Cricetulus griseus: one gene and its partners. The protein of the gene in region 5 purifies or fractionates together with the protein of the main gene of each other region. This does not show direct contact. Links are inferred from orthologs where the notes say so. Each region holds a gene or a part of one and is shown on either strand. Other genes may lie near its edges.

Evidence for each region.
Region 1: the proteins of Tnfrsf1a (region 5) and Map3k7 purify together in Homo sapiens (affinity purification with western blotting; 7 studies listed by BioGRID, with this or other methods). This does not show direct contact. The link is inferred for Cricetulus griseus from reciprocal best matches to the Homo sapiens genes TNFRSF1A and MAP3K7.
Region 2: the proteins of Tnfrsf1a (region 5) and Tnfaip3 purify together in Homo sapiens (affinity purification with western blotting; 7 studies listed by BioGRID, with this or other methods). This does not show direct contact. The link is inferred for Cricetulus griseus from reciprocal best matches to the Homo sapiens genes TNFRSF1A and TNFAIP3.
Region 3: the proteins of Tnfrsf1a (region 5) and Nsmaf purify together in Homo sapiens (affinity purification with western blotting; 3 studies listed by BioGRID and IntAct, with this or other methods). This does not show direct contact. The link is inferred for Cricetulus griseus from reciprocal best matches to the Homo sapiens genes TNFRSF1A and NSMAF.
Region 4: the proteins of Tnfrsf1a (region 5) and baculoviral IAP repeat-containing protein 3 purify together in Homo sapiens (affinity purification with western blotting; 4 studies listed by BioGRID, with this or other methods). This does not show direct contact. The link is inferred for Cricetulus griseus from reciprocal best matches to the Homo sapiens genes TNFRSF1A and BIRC3.

What each region holds. Positions count from the first base shown.
Region 1 is NC_048595.1:110,086,740-110,090,254, reverse strand, and holds part of Map3k7 (mitogen-activated protein kinase kinase kinase 7), read left to right. Parts: intron 1-403; coding exon 404-485; intron 486-3,412; coding exon 3,413-3,515. UniProt on the Homo sapiens protein: Serine/threonine kinase which acts as an essential component of the MAP kinase signal transduction pathway. Plays an important role in the cascades of cellular responses evoked by changes in the environment.
Region 2 is NC_048595.1:270,731,634-270,735,148, forward strand, and holds part of Tnfaip3 (tumor necrosis factor alpha-induced protein 3), read left to right. Parts: intron 1-690; coding exon 691-871; intron 872-1,286; coding exon 1,287-2,164; intron 2,165-2,916; coding exon 2,917-3,098; intron 3,099-3,515. UniProt on the Homo sapiens protein: Ubiquitin-editing enzyme that contains both ubiquitin ligase and deubiquitinase activities.
Region 3 is NC_048595.1:154,070,003-154,074,272, forward strand, and holds the start of Nsmaf (protein FAN), read left to right. Parts: upstream 1-1,460; 5' UTR 1,461-1,679; coding exon 1,680-1,738; intron 1,739-4,270. UniProt on the Homo sapiens protein: Couples the p55 TNF-receptor (TNF-R55 / TNFR1) to neutral sphingomyelinase (N-SMASE). Specifically binds to the N-smase activation domain of TNF-R55. May regulate ceramide production by N-SMASE.
Region 4 is NC_048597.1:122,231,144-122,234,622, forward strand, and holds part of baculoviral IAP repeat-containing protein 3, read right to left. Parts: intron 1,250-3,479; coding exon 1,010-1,249; intron 1-1,009. UniProt on the Homo sapiens protein: Multi-functional protein which regulates not only caspases and apoptosis, but also modulates inflammatory signaling and immunity, mitogenic kinase signaling and cell proliferation, as well as cell invasion and metastasis.
Region 5 is NC_048601.1:21,085,816-21,089,797, reverse strand, and holds the start of Tnfrsf1a (tumor necrosis factor receptor superfamily member 1A), read left to right. Parts: upstream 1-1,168; 5' UTR 1,169-1,560; coding exon 1,561-1,599; intron 1,600-3,982.

The DNA of each region.
Region 1 (3,515 bases), on a different chromosome or scaffold from region 5:
AAGGTGTGTTCTTAATCTTTAAAAATACTGGTTTAAAGGTGATTCAGAAGCATTCACTGCCAGTTATCAATATATGTCACTGTTCCAAGCCCAGTGTTCTTCCGAGCAGTGAGTCCTCTGTTCTGTATGCTCCTCTAGAGAGTTTCCCTTGCTGTCATCTCAGTGCTTGTGTAGGTACATGGCATTGTCTGCAGCTAGCTTTCCAAAAAGAGCACTATCACCTTTTTCTCTGATCAGAAACAGAAGTCATTCCACATTCAGTACAAGCCTGCAGGAAAGCAGGGCTGTGTCCACCCCTGTGTACCTTAAACTAAAGCAGTGATACAGATGTGCTCTTGTGTTCATGTAACAGGGTTTACCCTGTACTAAAGGCATTTTAAATTGTGACTTGCTTTTACTACAGTACTTTCCAGGAGCAGATGAGCCATTGCAGTATCCTTGTCAGTACTCTGATGAAGGGCAGAGCAACTCAGCCACCAGCACAGGTAAACAGATGGCATCAGAGCATCATCAAGATTTCCCCTCTCATGAAGTTTGTCATGAAAAAAGGAGGGCTGTCTACATTTACACTTTAATTCCTCATTTCTCTGGATTCACTGCAGTTTGAGTTGCCAGGTGCCTCCCTCTTTATGAAGCTCCTGCCATAAAGACCTGCTTCCATGTCTAGAGTTACTGCTTAGTTAGGACTAAAGGATTGAATATGACATTGCTGTGAATGCTAGTCTAATTTCATCTTTTTGAGATAGTCTCACTTTGAATCCAGGCCAGCCAATCACCATATGATTTAGGCTAACTTCAAATTCATGACCCTGTCTCAAAAACCTCCTTAGATCTCAGACTAGATACATGCCTCCACACCAACAGGTTCTCCATGGATGCTGCTGGGTCAGGCAGGTTATTGTGAACATTGGGTTTCCTCACCAACTCTGTTCTGCTCTTTGGTCTTTTTCAAAAGAGACTTATTTCTGAAACTGCTTTAATTAGAAGTTCAGTTTTCTGAAATATAAAGTAGAAGTACTAAGTGATAGTTTGAGGTTATCAAAAACAGAACTAGTATTCTAACTTAGAGAAATTGCTATTTGCAAAATATATGGCATTTTGTTATTTATTTAATTTCTTTTTTGTTATTTATTTAATTTCATCTAGAGAAACACATACATGTCAGTACATATGTAACCTGAACTTTAAATTTTCACTTTTTTCCCACGAATATGTTCATTAGTCTCTTTCCCCCATTTTGAGATGGTTTATTTGTTTTAAGGTTTTTGTTTGATTAGTGATGCTCAAATTCAGTTTTACTGAAAACCTTTTGAGTTTTCAGTGATTCTGCAGTGATCTTTTCCAGAACTCCCTGTGTTTTTCCTTTCTTTCATCTTCTGATTTTCAGTCCTTTCACTGACCCTCAGTTCCTGGAGATCCTTTTATCCTTCATCCCTCCACTAAACTTGGTCAATGATGATCCATCAGAAATCATACTCAATGGTGGAATTCCTCTCTCCACTTGCTTAGCTAAGTTATAGGCCTAATTGGCTCTCAGCTTCCTCCTTTCTCAGATGAGTGCTGAGTGTCACTGTGCAGTTATCATCTCTTAGACAACTTGCTTTAGACAGCAACCTCTCCCCTAAAAGCTCAGGTATCTTGCTAGTCCATGCTGCAGGCTGACCTTGTTTTCTGTTTAAGAATGTTTGCATCATCAGAAGATAGCTCCTACAAGGTCCCCATGTCTTTGTAGCTACTTGGAACAGTGCCCACCTTCTCTGTTTTCTGTTTTTTTCTGACTGCCCATGCTTCTAGTTAAAGGCAAGACTCTCTGCTTATACATTATACCATATCTACCCTTTGTGTCAGGTAGATAACTCTTCTCTCCCCTCATGACTTTTCGTCTTTCTACTGGGAACATTTCAAGAGCAAATACAGTCTGTATTCAGATGCACTGACTAACTCCCTTCTTCCCATTCTCTAGCATCTACTTCATTTAGACTTCTCTTATACTACTACTGCAGAATTATTCTTGTGGAGGTCACCAGTTATCTCTGTATAACTATGCAAATGAGTGGAATTTTATATTCACAGTTGATACTAATAAATGTTTGGTACATTCATCTTTCTCTTTATACTCTTCACTTGCTGTGCAGGACCCAAGACTAATCTGAATTTCATACTACATTTCTGGTCACTTAGGGGTTTTTGTTGAGGTTATTGTTTGGCTATTATTTTGCGAAACAAGCAGAACCTGAGACTTTGTGAATGTTAAACAAACACCATGTCTCTGAGATTGTCCTCAGCTTGTTCTTGGTTTTCTTTGCTGGTTGTTCCTCATTTCCTCAGTTATAAGGAGGAGTGCCAAAGACTTAGCCATTGGCTTGTTCACTTAGCCATTTTCTCCATCTCCTTGGTTACCTCTTCCAATATTAGGACTTTGTTTTCCTCTCCCTCTCTCTAGGCAGATTTTGCCTCAGGTTTATTTGTAAAAACATCATAGGGCACTGACCATCTGTAAATAGTGTGTAGGTGTGTCACATCAGTCCATCTGTCTTCATATTGACTGGTAGAAGCCTTTTCTATGGGGCCTTCACAAGGGCCCCACACCTTTCAGAGCCTGAGCTGGAACTGCAGCCTCAGCCTTGGTTTAAACCTGGGCTTTTGTTGGCAGAGCCTATAACCCTTAGCCATGTAGCTTCAGATCTGCTTCCCAGGCTTTGGGTGAGTGATGAAAGAAATAAGGCTGCATTTGTGGTTGGGCACCTTGGCTCCTTGGGCTTAACTGCCTTGGGTTGCACAAGGGCCTTAAGGGCCTCTGCGTGCTCACTCATCTTTGCATTGTTTGTCTGCATCTTCTTCAGGTCTTTCTTGTTGTGCTTCTTGACAAATCACATGTTCCTCAGAAACTTGGAGTCAACCCCTTAAGACACTAGTATCTTTGTGACTGGGTTTCTTGATGCTGTCCTGTGCCATTTCCAGGATTTCTTATTTGTGGTGTAGTTCTTGGACTTGCCCATGTCTTCACAGTAACCTGTGGCTCCTGAAGTGCCTGGGACCAGAAGAGAAAAAAAAGTGTTCTCATCTTATGCCTGGATTCTACCTTTGTTTATCCAGAACAGGATTTCTAGTAGGGACTCAAAGCAGTGCTTTCCAAACTTAGTTCTGGGTATGTCCTTCAAACTCACTCTTCTTCTTGTCTGCTAATAAGCCCCAGCTCTACTTCAGGGTTAAATCTTTACATTAGTCTCATTTGTTTAGAAGACTGACTGACTCTTTATTGTGCTCTCTGTAACCATCATTTAAAATGGACTTGTTTAGAGTGTCTTCATTGGTGTGGAAGTTTTTGCTTTGTTTTTATGTCTTGCCATTTATTGAATGAGGCATTCATATCATTCTCAACCTGAAGTCATAAATGTTTCTGCTTTCCTAGGCTCATTCATGGACATCGCTTCTACAAATACCAGTAATAAAAGTGATACCAATATGGAACAAGTTCCTGCCACAAATGATACTATTAAACGCTTAGAGTCAAA
Region 2 (3,515 bases), on a different chromosome or scaffold from region 5:
GTCTCCTTCCTGTGATTACAAAAATCAGCTTAGGTGATGATCACCAGATGGATGGATGAAGAGACTGTGATATGTGTACACAATGGAATTATTTAGCCATAAGGGGGAAAAAGGGAATTTTTGTCATTTGCAGAGAAAAAAGATGGAGCAGGAGATAATCATATTTAAAAGAAAAGCATAGACTCAGAAAAGCAACACTTTTTTCTCTCATATATGGAATCTAGATTTTTTTTAAGGGTACAGAGCAGAATACATGGAAGTAGAAGGCAGAGGATTTTGAAAGAAGTAGAAGCAGCAGGAGGAGGAGGGGTGAGAGGATAATGGAGTTCAAATACAGAGTATGTTCATAGAGATGTGTACAAAAGCACAAAAGTAAGTCCAGAATCTTTGTGCTCCAAACAAGAACTAAAATTACCTCTCAGCCTTCCAGCCACAATAAATATCCAAAAATCACAAATTAAATCCCTGTCAAAGAAGTCTGCCAGTACCAGGCTCCTTGGCATTCTGTGAGCTCCCTGGATACAAAGCATTTTATGTTAGTCTTTACCACATTTTGTTTCCCTGTTTGGCTTTTAAGTGTGACTGGATGAATCTTTCTGTATCTCTAAATTCTAATCAGTGTATGTGACCTTACACACAGCATCATTTGTAGGATAATATTTTACTCACACGATATTTTTTTTCTTTCAGAAATCCGAGCTGTTCCCCTTGTTAATAGAGATCGGGGAAGATTTGAAGACTTAAAAGTTCACTTTTTGACAGACCCTGAAAATGAGATGAAGGAAAAACTTCTCAAGGAGTACTTGATAGTGATGGAGATCCCGGTGCAAGGCTGGGACCATGGCACAACTCACCTCATCAATGCTGCAAAGTAAGCAGTCTCCTTTAATTTGTCTTTTTTTAAAAGATTTATTTATTAATTTTTTTCTCTATGCATTGGTGTTTTGCCTGCATGCATGTCTGTGTGAGGGTGCTGGATTCCCTGGAACTGGAGTTACAGACAGTTGTGACAGAGCTGCCATGTGGGTGCTGGGAATTGAACCTGGGTCCTCTGGAAGAGTAGCCAGTGCTCTTAACAGCTGAGCCATCTCTCCAGCCCTTTGATTTGTCTTCTGCACTTGAGAACATGATAGAAGTGTATTGGACCACAATGTGTCATAAGCCTGCATTTCAGTGCTGGTATTGTGCCATAGACTGCTACATTCTGGAAATGTGTTCTAGGAGCTTATGATGTTAGAGTCTTGTGTTATTTGGAGTCACCACTTATTTTCCTGCTTGCTCTTTAGGTTGGATGAAGCTAATTTACCCAAAGAAATAAATCTGGTAGATGATTACTTTGAACTTGTTCAGCATGAATACAAGAAATGGCAGGAAAACAATGAGCAAGGCAGGAGAGGGGCGCATTCACAGAACCCTTTGGAGCCTTCCACGCCCCAGCTGTCACTCATGGATGTAAAATGTGAGACACCCAACTGTCCTTTCTTTATGTCCGTGAACACTCAACCGTTATGTCATGAATGCTCAGAGAGGCGCCAAAAGAACCAGAGCAAACTCCCAAAGCTGAACTCGAAGCTGGGTCCTGAAGGATTCCCAGGCATGGGACTTGGCACCTCCGCCTGGAGCCCGGAGGAAACAGCTGGAGGACCTCATTCGGCCCCACCCACGGCACCCAGCCTTTTTCTGTTCAGCGAGACCACGGCAATGAAGTGCAGGAGCCCCGGTTGCCCTTTCACATTGAACGTGCAGCATAATGGATTCTGTGAGCGCTGCCACAATGCCCAGCAGCTTAATGCCAGCCACACTGCAGATCCCGGTAAGTGCCAAGCTTGCCATCAGGATGTCACTCGGACGTTTAATGGCATCTGCAGTACCTGTTTGAAAAGGACCAAAGCAGAGCCCTCCTCCAGCCTCACTTCCAGTGTCCCTCCCTCCTGTCACCAACGCTCCAAGTCTGACCCCTCACAACTCATCCAAAGTCTCGCCCCACACTCTTGCCATCGGACTGGAAATGATGTCCCTTCTGGCTGCCTTTCCCAGGCAGCACGAACTCCAGGAGACAGGACAGGGACAAGCAAGTGCAGAAAAGCTGGCTGCACATATTTTGGGACTCCCAAAAACAAGGGCTTCTGCACGCTGTGTTTCATCGAATACAGAGAAAATAAACGTGAGTGAAATCATAGATTGCCTATTGCAGTAGTCAGTGCCTAGAAAGGGGTCTTTGATTGTCAAGAAAGTAGCCTATCCCAGCAGTCAGAGCAATTACATCTCACTATGCCTTTCTTATTGGTTTGTGCTTGGGGACAGTGACTGTTGCTCTGCTGTTGTACCTGGAAGCAGTAGGCACTATCTCATTACATCAGTTCTAGTTACCATGTACCCTACATCAAAAATATCCTATAGATATAATTCATACTAGTCCATGATGGACCCACTGTGTATCCCAGGCGGGCCTCAGAGTCCTGGCAATCTATTTGCTTCTTTCCCCTCAGTGCTAGAATTTTAGGCATATACTGCCACACTAGACTGTGGGGCTGGGTTTAATAAGGCCATTGAGAGTCTGCTACCCACGTATAGTTCAGACTTCAGCATCTTTGGTGAGATACTCTGAAGCAGGCTAGCAAAAGAAAGGAAGTATTTACTGCCATCAGGAAAACATCTGTGGCTTAGGACTTTCTAAATCAAAGGGCAAGTGGGCTGTGAATGCCTGCTGTTTGGTTCTCTGACTGATCAGTGACCCATGTTCAAAGTGAGAGATTAAGCCAAAGATGTTATTTTGCTGAGTTTCTGAAAGTTCAGTCTCAAAGTACATGTTCAAGGCTGTTTTCATCTATGTTGGGTACCCATTTCCTGTATGTCAGTGTCTGTATTTGCACAGTAACCCAGATGTAATACTGACTAGCATCCACTCTTTTGTAGAGTTTGTTACTGCCTCTGGGAAAGCCGGTTCCACAGCCCCCAGGTTCCAGAATAACATCCCATGCCTGGGCAGGGAGTGCGGCACCCTCGGGAGCACCATGTTTGAAGGATATTGTCAGAAGTGCTTCATTGAAGCTCAGAGCCAGAGGTTTCATGAAGCAAAAAGGACTGAAGAGCAACTGGTGAGACATTTGGTGAATCTTGCCCTCTCTGGTGTCAGGTCTTCCATCTGTGACAGACAGGCTGTCTCCTCATGATGACAAAGGTCCCTTTAAAAAGTCTGCTGGAAGAGAGCCTGGAAAAACCAGCCACATTTCTTTGGCTCATGTTAGGATACACTGAACAGCCTAAGCATACTTAGAATTGATTCTGAACAGCTAATACAGTCAGCCCTGAGCAAAGCCTCTGAGAGCATCCTGAAAGCCAGGAGGTGACTGATCAGAGACCTCTTAGATTTTAATGAGAAGCAGACTTCTCAGTCCTTTATTCTGAATATTCAGGATGCTTCCATTTACTGGCATATGGCAGAAGCGGGGAGGACCTTCCTCAAACTGGGTCCACAGGATTGGTGGGGAGCTATGGACCCTCAGTTGCACATT
Region 3 (4,270 bases), on a different chromosome or scaffold from region 5:
TTTTGTAGGCCAAGGTCAAGACCTACTTAAGGACACTCGAGGAACCTGGTTGTTTAGTCAAGGAGAGAATCTGTCATTCTCAAGCTACCCAGGCCAACCTTTTTCCAACATTTAATTGAGAGAAAAGTTATATCTGATCTGTTTTTTCCTTACCTGCTTCTATCATTTTCTCCTCTGACTCTATAGCTTCTACTATAATATTTCTCACATAGAAATTTCTCACATGATACCTCAGCAATTCTCATAATCTTATGTCATTGTGCACACATGCACACAATGACACTTTCCCAGGGGACAATTTAGCCAGTGTCTCCTAGTTACAGGATCTGTGCAGTGCTGGGATATAAGGAACTCAGGTCTCTTCATGTAGTACTCTCAACTCCCCCGCCCCCACCACGTTCTAAGCCACTCTGCTGCTTCCACCGCCATTGTTTTTGTTTTTGTTTTTGTTTTTAATTTATCTCTGCAGAACCTAGCCCTTAAGACAAAGGTAGGTGTGTTTCAACATTCTCACAATTTGTCATCCCAGAGTCCCTCAATGGTAGGCAATCTGCAGCATATTCTCAGAGTATTGGGAAACCACAAACCCCATGAAATACCAGTTATACTTGGTAGGACAGATTTAATACAAAAGATATTAAGTATTGTTGGGGGTCAGAACCTTTCTTCACTACTAGTGAGAGTGGGATGGTGCAGCCACTTTGAAAGCAGTATGGCGGTTTTTTGAAGTTCAGATGGAGTTATTAGTCTAGCCACTCCACTCCTTGATTTCAACTTCACTCAACAGAAATGAAAGTGTATGCATACAAAAACAGGTACATGAATGCTTATAGCTGTATTATTTGTAATAGCCAAGAGATGGAAACACTGACATGCCTAGCAACTGCTGAATATATAATATGAAATGAAGTATGGAATACAATGGAATACACTTCGGTGAGAAAAAGAAATGGAATTTTGACTTATGCTACAGCTCATGAACATTGAAAGCATTATGCTAAATGAAAGACGTCAGACACAAAGACCACGTATTGTATGGCTGTTTTTATTTGAAATGTCCAGACTGGGCAAATTCATAGAGAAAGTTAAGTCGTTTTTTCTAGGAAAAGGTTTGTGGAAAGGCAGCTAAGGAGTAGTGATTGCTAAAATGTAAAGGCTTCTTTTTGGGCCGATGAAAATATCCCAACACTGTAGTCCTAGTGTAGTCATAGTTGCACCTATCTGTGAATACTGATACACTAAAAATGGACAAATTGTTTGATACTTAGGTGGTACATCATTAGTGGTGTTATTTCTTAAACTGCCATCCAATATTTCAATAACTGAAATTTGGGATTGAAAATGCAAAACGTTGTTATTTCTGGTCCCCGCGCCAACAACTGGGGGGCTCCCGGGCAAGCCTGGGCTTTCACGTGTGCTGTCTCCACGCCGCAGCAGCGCTGCAGAGGTTAGTCGGGACAGTGTAGGACGCGGCTGCCGCCCGCGGCCCCAGGTCAGCGCGCCCCTCCTCCGGGCCTGAGTCACGGCGTCGCCCGAGTCCGAGTCCCCACGCGAGGATGCTGCGGTGAGCGCGGTGGGGACGCCGCGGGCCCTGGGGCGCAGCGTGGGGCTCTCGGCCGCCGGGCGGCGCCGCTCGGGACCTCTGGGGACAGTCGGCGGCCTGCGCGCCCCGGGCCTCCATGGCGTTCACCCGGAAGAGGCAGCGCGAGCAGCAGCTGCAGTTCTACTCCAAGGAGAGGTGCGCGGGGCGGGGGCCGGGAGACCGGGAGGCCGGGCGGCACTTAGGCGCTCTCCCACAGGCCGCGGCCGCCTCCTGGGTCCGGGAGTCGAGAGTGGGCCCGGCTGGCGGGGACCTCGGGACTCAAAGGCAGGGCCAGCCCGCGCCCGCATGGGGGCGAGCAGCCCGCGCCCGTCTCACACACACACATACACACACACGGGGCCCTGCGTCCCGCAGCCGGCCTGCGTGGGAAGCTGTTGGAGAACCGCGTGCGACCGTAGGGTTGCGGTCACCCGCGGCCCAGGAAGGACTTGAATAAAGAGCTACGGCCTCCCTCAGATCCCGTCCCCTTCTAAGGAAGCGCACTTCCGTCCCTCGTGTCCTTCCTAGTGCGGTTTTGTGACCCGCACGCCTGCGGATAATCTAGCTGTTCTTCCAGCGGGAAAGCCGGCTAAACCGTTTTTGCAAACACGGGGTTTGTGGGAGCTGCGGTCGGACTATCACATTGTCGCTTGGTGGAGCTCTCTAAGCTGGTTATACCTGGAAACGCAGGTGCAGCTTCTAATTCTGGGTGAATTTCCCTTCACCTGTAGTTGTTACTCAGCCCGCCTCTTCATCTAAACATCTCTCTCTCTCTCTCTCTCTCTCTCTCTCTCTCTCTCTCTCTCTCTCTCTCTCTCTCTCTCTCTCTCTCTCTCTCTCTCTCTCTCCTCTCTTCTCTCTCTCTCTCTCTCTCTCTCTCTCTCTCTAATCTGTAATGTCGGACTGGCCAGGTGGTGTGTTCTGAAATTGCATTTCCCACCTGAGTTTACATGGGATTTCTTTGTCTGGCACCAACGACTTGTTAAGACTTGGTGCTGTGTTTTGCATTGATGAGCATGAACCTTTTAAACGCTTGAACTGTTGTCATGTTCTAGACTTCATTAATAGTCATTTGTAACAATCCTGTGACTTCAGTGATGAACAGAAAAACCGGGAGGGTTGTTTTGTTCTGTTTTATCTTTAGATTCTGACTGTTGTTTTGATCGTCTTACACTGTTTGTAATGTTAGGGGAACCTGCTGTCCTTGCTATTTCCAGCATATGCTGTTTTGTTTACATGCTAGGCCCACCGTACTCCCAGGTAAGAGTTCTCCTAGGTCAAACATTTATCAGCTATCAATCAGTTAACTATTCTCTACAATCAGCATGGGCACTTCAATTCTACTTCCTGATCACCCCCAATTTTTTTTTTCTCTGCCTACTGGCTTTTCAATCTTAGGGTGTATGTATGTATGTATGTATGTATGTATGTATCTGTATATTTTAATTAAGGAACATCTCTGAGTGTGAGATTTGAACTTAAATCAAGGAGATTCTTCATAAATCATACAATTCATTCAAAAAGACCAACTTTTAAAAGTTAACTTTGGAAAACCAACCTTACTGAGACCCAAATTTAACATTTCTGCCCACATGTGTCTTGGCTTAACTGTCATTTGGCAACATTAAGGACAAATGAGCAAGATGATAAAGGCCATTGGCTCTGGCTATCTCAGAGAGCAGTTCCTTTTCCTGGGGAGCTTGAGGCTAGTGAGAGATAACCAGAGGCCTCCCCTCTGCCCTGTGCACTCAGTGGCTCCTCTCAAACTGAGTTTGGGATTTTAGATTTCTAGAGCTGCCAAACAGTGACCCCAGAGAAAGAGAAACTGAAGTTAGTATGTATGTCTCTGCTGCTGAATTAGCTCCAGTTAGCATGAGCAGAGTTTGTTTGGGAGATTCTGTGCCAGGAGTTTGGATCATAGTGATGACAGAAGGAAGAATGCAGCAAAGTGGATTTGTATTCTAGATGTTTAATGAGATAGAGGTGACCGGAGATGGTATTGTATATGGCATTTAAGAGGGTGGAGAAAGAAGCCTGGCTGGGATTGTTAGGTACAATATGAGACACTCAGTTAAATATTAATTTCAGATAATTTTTGGCATATGTCCCATGTAGATTTGGGGACATATTTATACTAAAACTTAGTGTAGATTAAGTATATTGTTTCTCTAAAATTCAACTTTAACTGGGATCCTGTACTGCTACTTGCTAACCCACACAGCCCTGCACTGAAACTTCTGGTATGAATAGCCATGCACTGGTGCTGTTTGCTGAAATTTATGAAAAAAAATGCCTTAGTAATTTTCAGGACCAGAATGCAAATAGACAATTAGTTCTATTGTTCAAATTAAGTGTTTTGTATCCCTTCCATTATGTCAGCAGCCATATAAATTTTGCTAGTTATTTTTAAATATCATGATTAGATGTTGATGAAGACAAATGACAAAAGTAAAGAGAAAAATTCACATATGTTCTCTGAAATAGTTGAGCATGGCAGAAGTGGTCAGTGGGTAAGGAAATAAGGAATTCTACAAACTGTCACTTGTTATTCTATTTCTGAATTGTTCTATTTAAAATTTATCTTCACAACTATTTTTATCTTACTCTGTAGAAGTTTACATAGTTGAGACACATGCCTTCAAAGCAGAAGCTGTAGTTTTATTTCTGTGATATAATAGAATGAACAAC
Region 4 (3,479 bases), on a different chromosome or scaffold from region 5:
ACTCTCTTCTAGCCTCCAAGGGCTCCCACACACACAAATACACATAAAACTCACACAAATACACATAAATTTAAAATTAATTAAAATTTAATTAATTAAACATTGTCTAAGATATAATGTTACCCTAGTATTCAAATGAATAATTCTCCTGGATTCCATCTCAATTTATCATAAAGGGGAATGAATGGGCTGTGGGTCAACAAGATGGCTCAGTGCAGAAAACCCTCATTGCAAAATCTTAATGACATTTGTCCTTGATACTCAGAACCCAGAGGAAGTGGAGAGTTCTGACTCCATTAAGATATCCTCTGATTTATGTGTCACTGTACGCACGTGCAAGCACACACACACACACACACACACACACACACACACACACACACACCCCTACCTCTTCAAAATTGAAAACTGATTTGACAGTATGTTGAAATCAAGCTCCTTCGTGAAAATTTTATTTAAGAGGAAAATATAAAGGCTTACTAATTGAAAAGATCTATGTGCACATACAGAAAACAAAAATCACACATAGTGTGTGACTCTTTGGGGATTTTGAAGGTTACAAGGCACTTTAAAAAAAACTGGTTTTTGTAACCTTTAAATCTAAGAGAAAAGTGCTAACATCTGTTCAACATATACTTTTTTTAATACAATGAGCAACCCAGTGTGCTTTTAAGTGTGTGTGTGTGTGTGTGTGTGTGTGTGTGTGTGTGTGTGTGTGTATCTGTGCATTTGCTACAGCATTCATACAGAAGTCAGAGGAAAACCTGTGGGAGTCAAATCAGTTCTCCCTTCCACCAAATGGGGTCTGGGGGTCAAGCTCTAGTACTGAGATCCAAGTGTCCTCACCTGCCAAGCCACCTCCCTAGCCCTTCACAACGCACTTCATTGTGAACAATTGTTTTCAGAATATGAAACATAAGAAACACCGGGCCAAATAGACAAGCATCTTTTTACAACTTGCATAGGGTGACATGCCATCTCTCCGGAGAAGGGACCTTGTGAACTGTACCTGACTCTATTTCCTCGGCTGCCTGCTCCTTCTGCTCCTCCCTTATCTCGTCTTCCGCATCAAGTAAGCCTATCACGAGGTCGCTGACGGTCCTGTAGTTCTCGCCAGTGGCCAGGATTTGACGCTGAACTGTCTGTCTTACCAGGCTCCTACTGAAGCCCATTTCCAAAGCTGCTTTAACCACAGGCGTGTTCATCATGACCACATCTTCTGAACTTTCACCAAGTCCGAAATGCACAACTATATGAAAAGGGAGATTTAACAGACATTAGCAGTGCCCGTATACCTTTTTGTTATGGCTGTTGTTTTGAGATTTCTTCTAGCCCAGTCAAGCCTCAAGCTTATTATGTAGCCCAGGCTGATCTCAAATTCATGGCAATTCTCCTGCCTCAGCCTCCCAGGTGCTAGGATTACAGGCAAAAACCAACACATACTTTTTAAATAGCAAGCTATTGCAATATCAAAACCATAAAATCTGAAAAACACATAGGCACTACACTAAGAATATGGAATACTATTGCCTTTAGATATAAGCCTATGACTACTTTTCCTCAAGAGCAGGAGACCCGAATGTCAGGGTTCAATCCCACCAGAATCAAGGGGCTTCTTTTTCTATATTGGATAAGTGAATAAGCTTTCTAAATCATATATATATATATTATATATATATATATATATATATATATTCTACATATTTGTTTTATTGGTATTTATTTGTTGTATACAATGTTTTTGTCATAATATATTTATATACACATATGTAATTTGATATTTTTGTCTCTTTCCATTTCCTGCAAATAGCATGGTTTCACATTTAATTTATGGTTGAGTAATTTTCTTTTTTTTTTTCCTGTTTTCTTTTGTTGCAGGAGACAGAGTCTTAGCATATAGCCAAGGTTCTTGCTTCTGACTCCCAAATGCTGAGGTCATAGGTATGCACTACATTATCTTTATCCATCCATCTGCCAGTGAGTTATGACTCAATCCATAATTTGACTATATGTTTTCACAGTTTTGAAAGAAACCATTGTTACCATTCAGTACAGTTACCCCAGTGTCCTAGAGTATTGCCCCCCTTCCAACACTACAACCCAGCAACTTTGAAAACGCAAAACCAGATGGGATCACACTCTTTAAACTCAACCCCCTTAACCTTAGGATCAAATCTCAGCTCTACCTGTGGCTTATACATTCAGATGTGGCCACAGCCTCAGCCCTTGCTATTTCCATGCTAGAAGCAGCTTCACGAATTTGCCCTTGCATTTGGATCTAGAGTTCCCAAACTGAGAGCTGTTAGCTCAGACTCTGCCGTCAGCACCACCAATTACCTGCCTGCAGCTCGATCCTTCCAGCTAGACAAAATTTGTCCAGTTCCTTGGAAGTCCCTATTCCATGTCACTTAGGCCTCTGATATTCTCTTTGTCCAGAATATGCTTTTGCCTGTTAGTTAACAGATTTCTGTTCTCTTGGGCTCTCTGCTAGGAAAAGTACTTCTGCAGACAGTCTTTTCTTTCATTTTTGTTTTGTTTTGCTTTGTTTTATGGTTTTTGGATGGGGGAGGAGGGATTGCCATGGCATGTGGGTTGTCAGAGGACAGCTTGCAGGAGTCACTTTCTCTCTGCCCACCATGTGAGTCTAGGGCCTAGAACTCAGGCTGTCAGTGTGGCAGCAAGCACTTTAACCACTGAGCTATCTGCCAGCCCTGTTCTGTTCTTTTTCTTAAGATTTATTTATTTATTTATTTATTTATTTATTTATTTATTATGTATACAACATTCTGCTTCCATGTATATCTGCACATCAGAAGAGGGAATCATATCTCATAATGGATGGTTGTGAGCCACCATGTGTTTGCTGGGAGTTGAACTCAGGACCTCTGGAAGAGCAGCCAGTGCTCTTAACCTCTGAGCCATATCTCCAGCCCTGTTCTGCTCTTTTAAGACAAAATCTCACTAGGTTACCAGGCTGGCCAGGAACTCACCCAAGCTGGCCTGGAACTCCCTGTATGACCCTTGTGCTTTAGCCTTGCAAGTACTGAGGCTGCAGGTGCTGTGCAGACATACACACCCACCCCTGGCTTCCAATTCCGCAGACTTAGCTGTCTGCCTCTTGGCTTTCTCCTCCAGATCATGTTCTCCTATCTGAGCTCTCATCTGTGTCCCTAAAATCATTAGCTCATGAGAACAGGAGTCATGCTTATCTTGTGTCCTATTCTTTGTTTGGAACAACAAAAATCCATAATAAAAACATATTACAGCCGGCATTGGTGGCTCACGCCTTTAATCCCAGCACTTGGGAGGCAGAGGTAGGCGGATCTCTGTGAGTTTGAGGCCAGCCTGGTCTCCAGAGTGAGTGCCAGGATAGGCTCCAAAGCTATACAGAGAAACCCTATCTCGAAAAACAAAACAAAACAAAACAAAAAAATTACATTAGGCCTGGAAAGATGGCTCAGCAGTTAAGAGCTCTGGCT
Region 5 (3,982 bases):
CAGCCACTGAAGGACCTCAGGCTGAACTGGCATACATAAAGAAGGCCACTAAATCTCAAGGGCACTTGAGTGCATAGTGTCCCGGTGCTGTAGGGTTCACCTGTACACATGGAGATGGCAGAAGGTGTCCACCCCTCATAAGGGATGGCAGTCAGAAGGCGATGTCTCACTCAGAGAGAGAGAGGACAGTGCAGGGAACCAGGAACCCAGGTCCTCTGTGCTCTGCATCCCAGCATGCTGTGTCTTGTGGCTTTTTCCTTACCCTTAAAGCTTCAAGATTTAGTACTCTCCCTCCGGGGTCAGTCCTAATGGATGCATCCAAGTATCTAGAGCTGGGTGTGGTGGTACCCATCTGTAATCTTAGCCTGTAGGAGGCAAGAGGACCAGAAGTACAAGGCCAGCCTCAGCTACATAGTGAGTTTGAGGCTGGCCTGGGCTAAATGAAACATTTCTTTAACCAAGACAAAATAGCAGGTTTGGGAAAAGGGCCCTGGGAACCCTTTACAGCCTCAAGCATGTTCACAGAGATGGCCTCCTGAATCTTCACAGCACCTCTTTCCCTGTGTGAGGGCAGTGCAGGCGTTCACTCTCTCATTTAATAACTGGGGAGCCAACCAAGGCTTGGGGGTCTCTCTCTCTCTCTCTCTCTCCTCTCTCTCTCTCTCTCTCTCTCTCTCTCTCTCTCTCTCTCTCTCTCTCTCTCTCTCTCTCTCTCCTCTCTCCTCTCTCTCTCCTCTCTGTGACAGAGCCATGGTGGGCAGCTGGGGAACCTGTCTGGAAGAGCCTGATGAAAGTCAGTGGGAGAGGCTGAGGGTCAGGCCCCAGGCAGGGTAGAAAACTAGATTTGGTTTTCTTCCCGGTTTGGGGCTGGTTGGGTAAACGTCCAAAAAAGAGAGATTAGAGGGAACCCTGGAGCGAAGGGAGGGCCGCTGAGGACAGCCGTGCACCAGCTGCTGTCCTCCCTCAGTAACTCCTGCCTGCCATCCCATGAGATAGGCTATCTTCATTCTGTGAACTTGAGAACAGCCCGGGGCGGGGTTAGTCTACGGGTCTAAGCTCCCCCACCTAAAAAGCAGAGGAGACAACTGGAACTCGGCGAATTTGACTCAAACTCTAGGTGCTCCCGCTGGGTGTTAAGCGGGTTTGGGGCGCCAGGCTGTGGGAGCCAGGCTGCAAAGCGTTAAAAGAACCTTGGCCCTCTCGTCTCTCCTGGCTCCCTCCTCCCTCCTCCCTCGCCTCTCCCCCGGCTCTTCCGGTCCCGCTCTTGCAACACCACCCCCGCCACTCTCCCTTCCCCTCCTACCTCCTCTTTACTCGCAACTTTAATTTTCTCCGAGTGTTCCGAACTCTGGCTCCCGGTCGGGCCTACTGGGTTCGAGGTCCTGGAGGACCGCACCCCGATCTCTATCTACCCTCGACTTTCAGCGCCTCTAAACCGAGGCCCGCGCTGCCACTGCCCGGGCCACCTGGTCCGGTCGGCTTACTTCATTCACCAGCCTTGCCAATTGCTGCACTGTCCCCAGCCCCAATGGGGGAGTGAGAGGCCACTGCCGGCCGGACATGGGTCTCCCCACCGTGCCTGGCCTGCTGCTGTCACTGGTGAGATGGGAGACAGAGGGGACGGGTGGGCAGCTGGTCAGGCGCGGCCTGGCAGGGGTGGCATGTACTAGGGGTAGGGGTGGGGGTGGGGTCGCTTCTCCGCTTCAGTTTGCCTAGGCTTGCTGTGCCTCACCTGGGGCTGCTCTGAGAGGCGGAGGGGAGAAATCTGAGAGGGAGAACGTTACCACCAGCCAAGCAAGCCCCCAAGCCCAGGGCCTGACAGCCAAGGCGGCTGGCTGGTCCTGGAGTGTGTTGGGCTTTAGGGAGGCCAGGTGCCAGGCCAGTGGAATTACCCGGAGCAGCCCCCGTTTCTCTGGCAGACGTTGAACAGCAAGGGTCAGGATGTTGGAAGACTGGGTCGAAGAACGGGGGCAGTTGGTGGGACAGGTTTGGGATACCATGTTTGGGAGTGAAACAGGAAACAGGATAAAGCAGGGCAGCCCGGCCCAGCCGCTTTCCTGAGACAGCCTGTGCCCTTCTGCCCCCAGGTCTGCTTCCAGACAAGAGGTCTCCATTGGCCTAACCCTCCCTAGGTAGCTAATACCTCCTTTACCTAGGCAGTGTATCCTTCAGCCCCCTCCTCACAGACCTAAAAGACAATCTCTCGGTTTCTAATTCCACAGTTCAGATTGGGGAAGTTGGTAGCAGTTTGTTTTCGTCACTGGAAAAATGTCCTTTCCTCTGGCTTTGGCCTCGTTTTTTTCACGTTTCCTTGGTTTCCCTATACGTGCGTGCGTATAACCATTCTGCGGAGAGCTCAGAGCCAGGGCTCCCTGGCTGTCTGGCGGACTGTACCTCCTGGACAGTGTCTCTGAGAGGTGCCTCCTTCTCCACGCCTCTCCTCTCCCCATCCTTTCCTGTCGGTCTCCAGAGCAGCCTCTTGGAGCTCCTTTCTGTCCATTCCCTTCCCTCTTTTTCCTGTTCCAGTCTAAGCCAGTGTTTCCAGAACCCTCAACTCCCCCAGTCTGTGTAGTCTCCCTCTCTCCTGTCTCCCGGTCTCAGCTCAAGACCCTTGTCAAAACTGCCCCTTCTGGGTCTGCGCCCATCATCCAATTGCCCTCACTTAGTCCTGTTCCCTTAAGGCTGCAGCAGCTGGATTTAGGGCTCAGTACAACACCCTGACCTACGTAAACTCTGACATGTGATGAGAGTCCCCTATGCCTTTGTTTCTCTATTTCCAAAATGGCCATAAAGATCACTACCTCATAGTTGTTCTTTTAAGATTGAATAGGTGGGTGCATGTTACATATTTGCTCAATTTGCTAATCTCTTACTCTGGGCCCTGTTTGAGGAGCTAGGATTGGAGGTGAATGGATCCCTGATGGCGACAAATAGAAGGGACTCTGCTTAGTGCCTGTTTTCTCCTCGCTAGCGGTATCGGTAGTCTGTCATTACTCAGTGGCTGCCAGCATTTGATAAGGTAAAAATAGCCTAGATAGGTTAGAAAGCCCCTGACCCAGTTGTGGAGGCCCAGGTGGCGATGGGCACTATGAACAGAATCGGAGCCTAAAGACAAAGGTCAAGAGATAGCACGTAAGGTCTACAACGGGCAGTCGGTCCACTGCCTTGTCAGAGCACAGTGCCTACGACAAGCATGAGTGATGAGGCGCTGGGGTCAGGAGGCCAGGCCAACAAGATTTTAAGTTTTAAGGCGTTTAAATATAGGAGTCAAAATGACTTTAGAACAGTCTGGAGGAAAAGACATGCCAAGGCCTTGTGATACAGTGTCCTGGAGGCAGAGCTGGGGCGGGGGTGGGGGGAGGTTGGCCACAGGCCAACTGTCTTTTCTTGCTTACTGGCCTTTGCCTGTCTGTTGGGCTGAGCTTGCCTGCATAGATCTTTGGCTCACTGAGAGCTCTTGAGAGTGTGAATTATGTCCCACCCCTCTTGGCATCTCCAGCACCCACGAGGATCCTGGAATGGAGACCTTGACACTTGACTAATGGTGGAATCAATTAGGAAACAAGAGATTGGTCCATGGGACCAGGGAGGGAATGCTGCATAGAGAAGAGGGCTTGGAACTCTTTTCTGGCATCTGGAGCCAGAAAGGAGGGAGAGCAGAGGAGCTGGGAGACTGGGTGGGGGAATGGAGCTGAGCACCTCAGCTGGGGGTAGGACGGCCAAGGTGAGGAATATGACAGGGTGAGAACGGGTACTCCAGCCTGTGTGGAAAAGAACCACGAGCCAGAGCCAGTCGTGAAAGCCAAGGCCTTTCATTCTAGAATGGGAGGTGAAGGCGGGAGACCAGTTTTGGCTACAAAGAGAGCTTGAGGCCATAGAGAAAAAGCGTCAATAGGGACACGTGCACCAGTGCAGCCTAGACCACATGAGACCATGTCGTAAAAAAAAACCAAAAAGGAAAAAAAAGTGTGCATAAGGACCT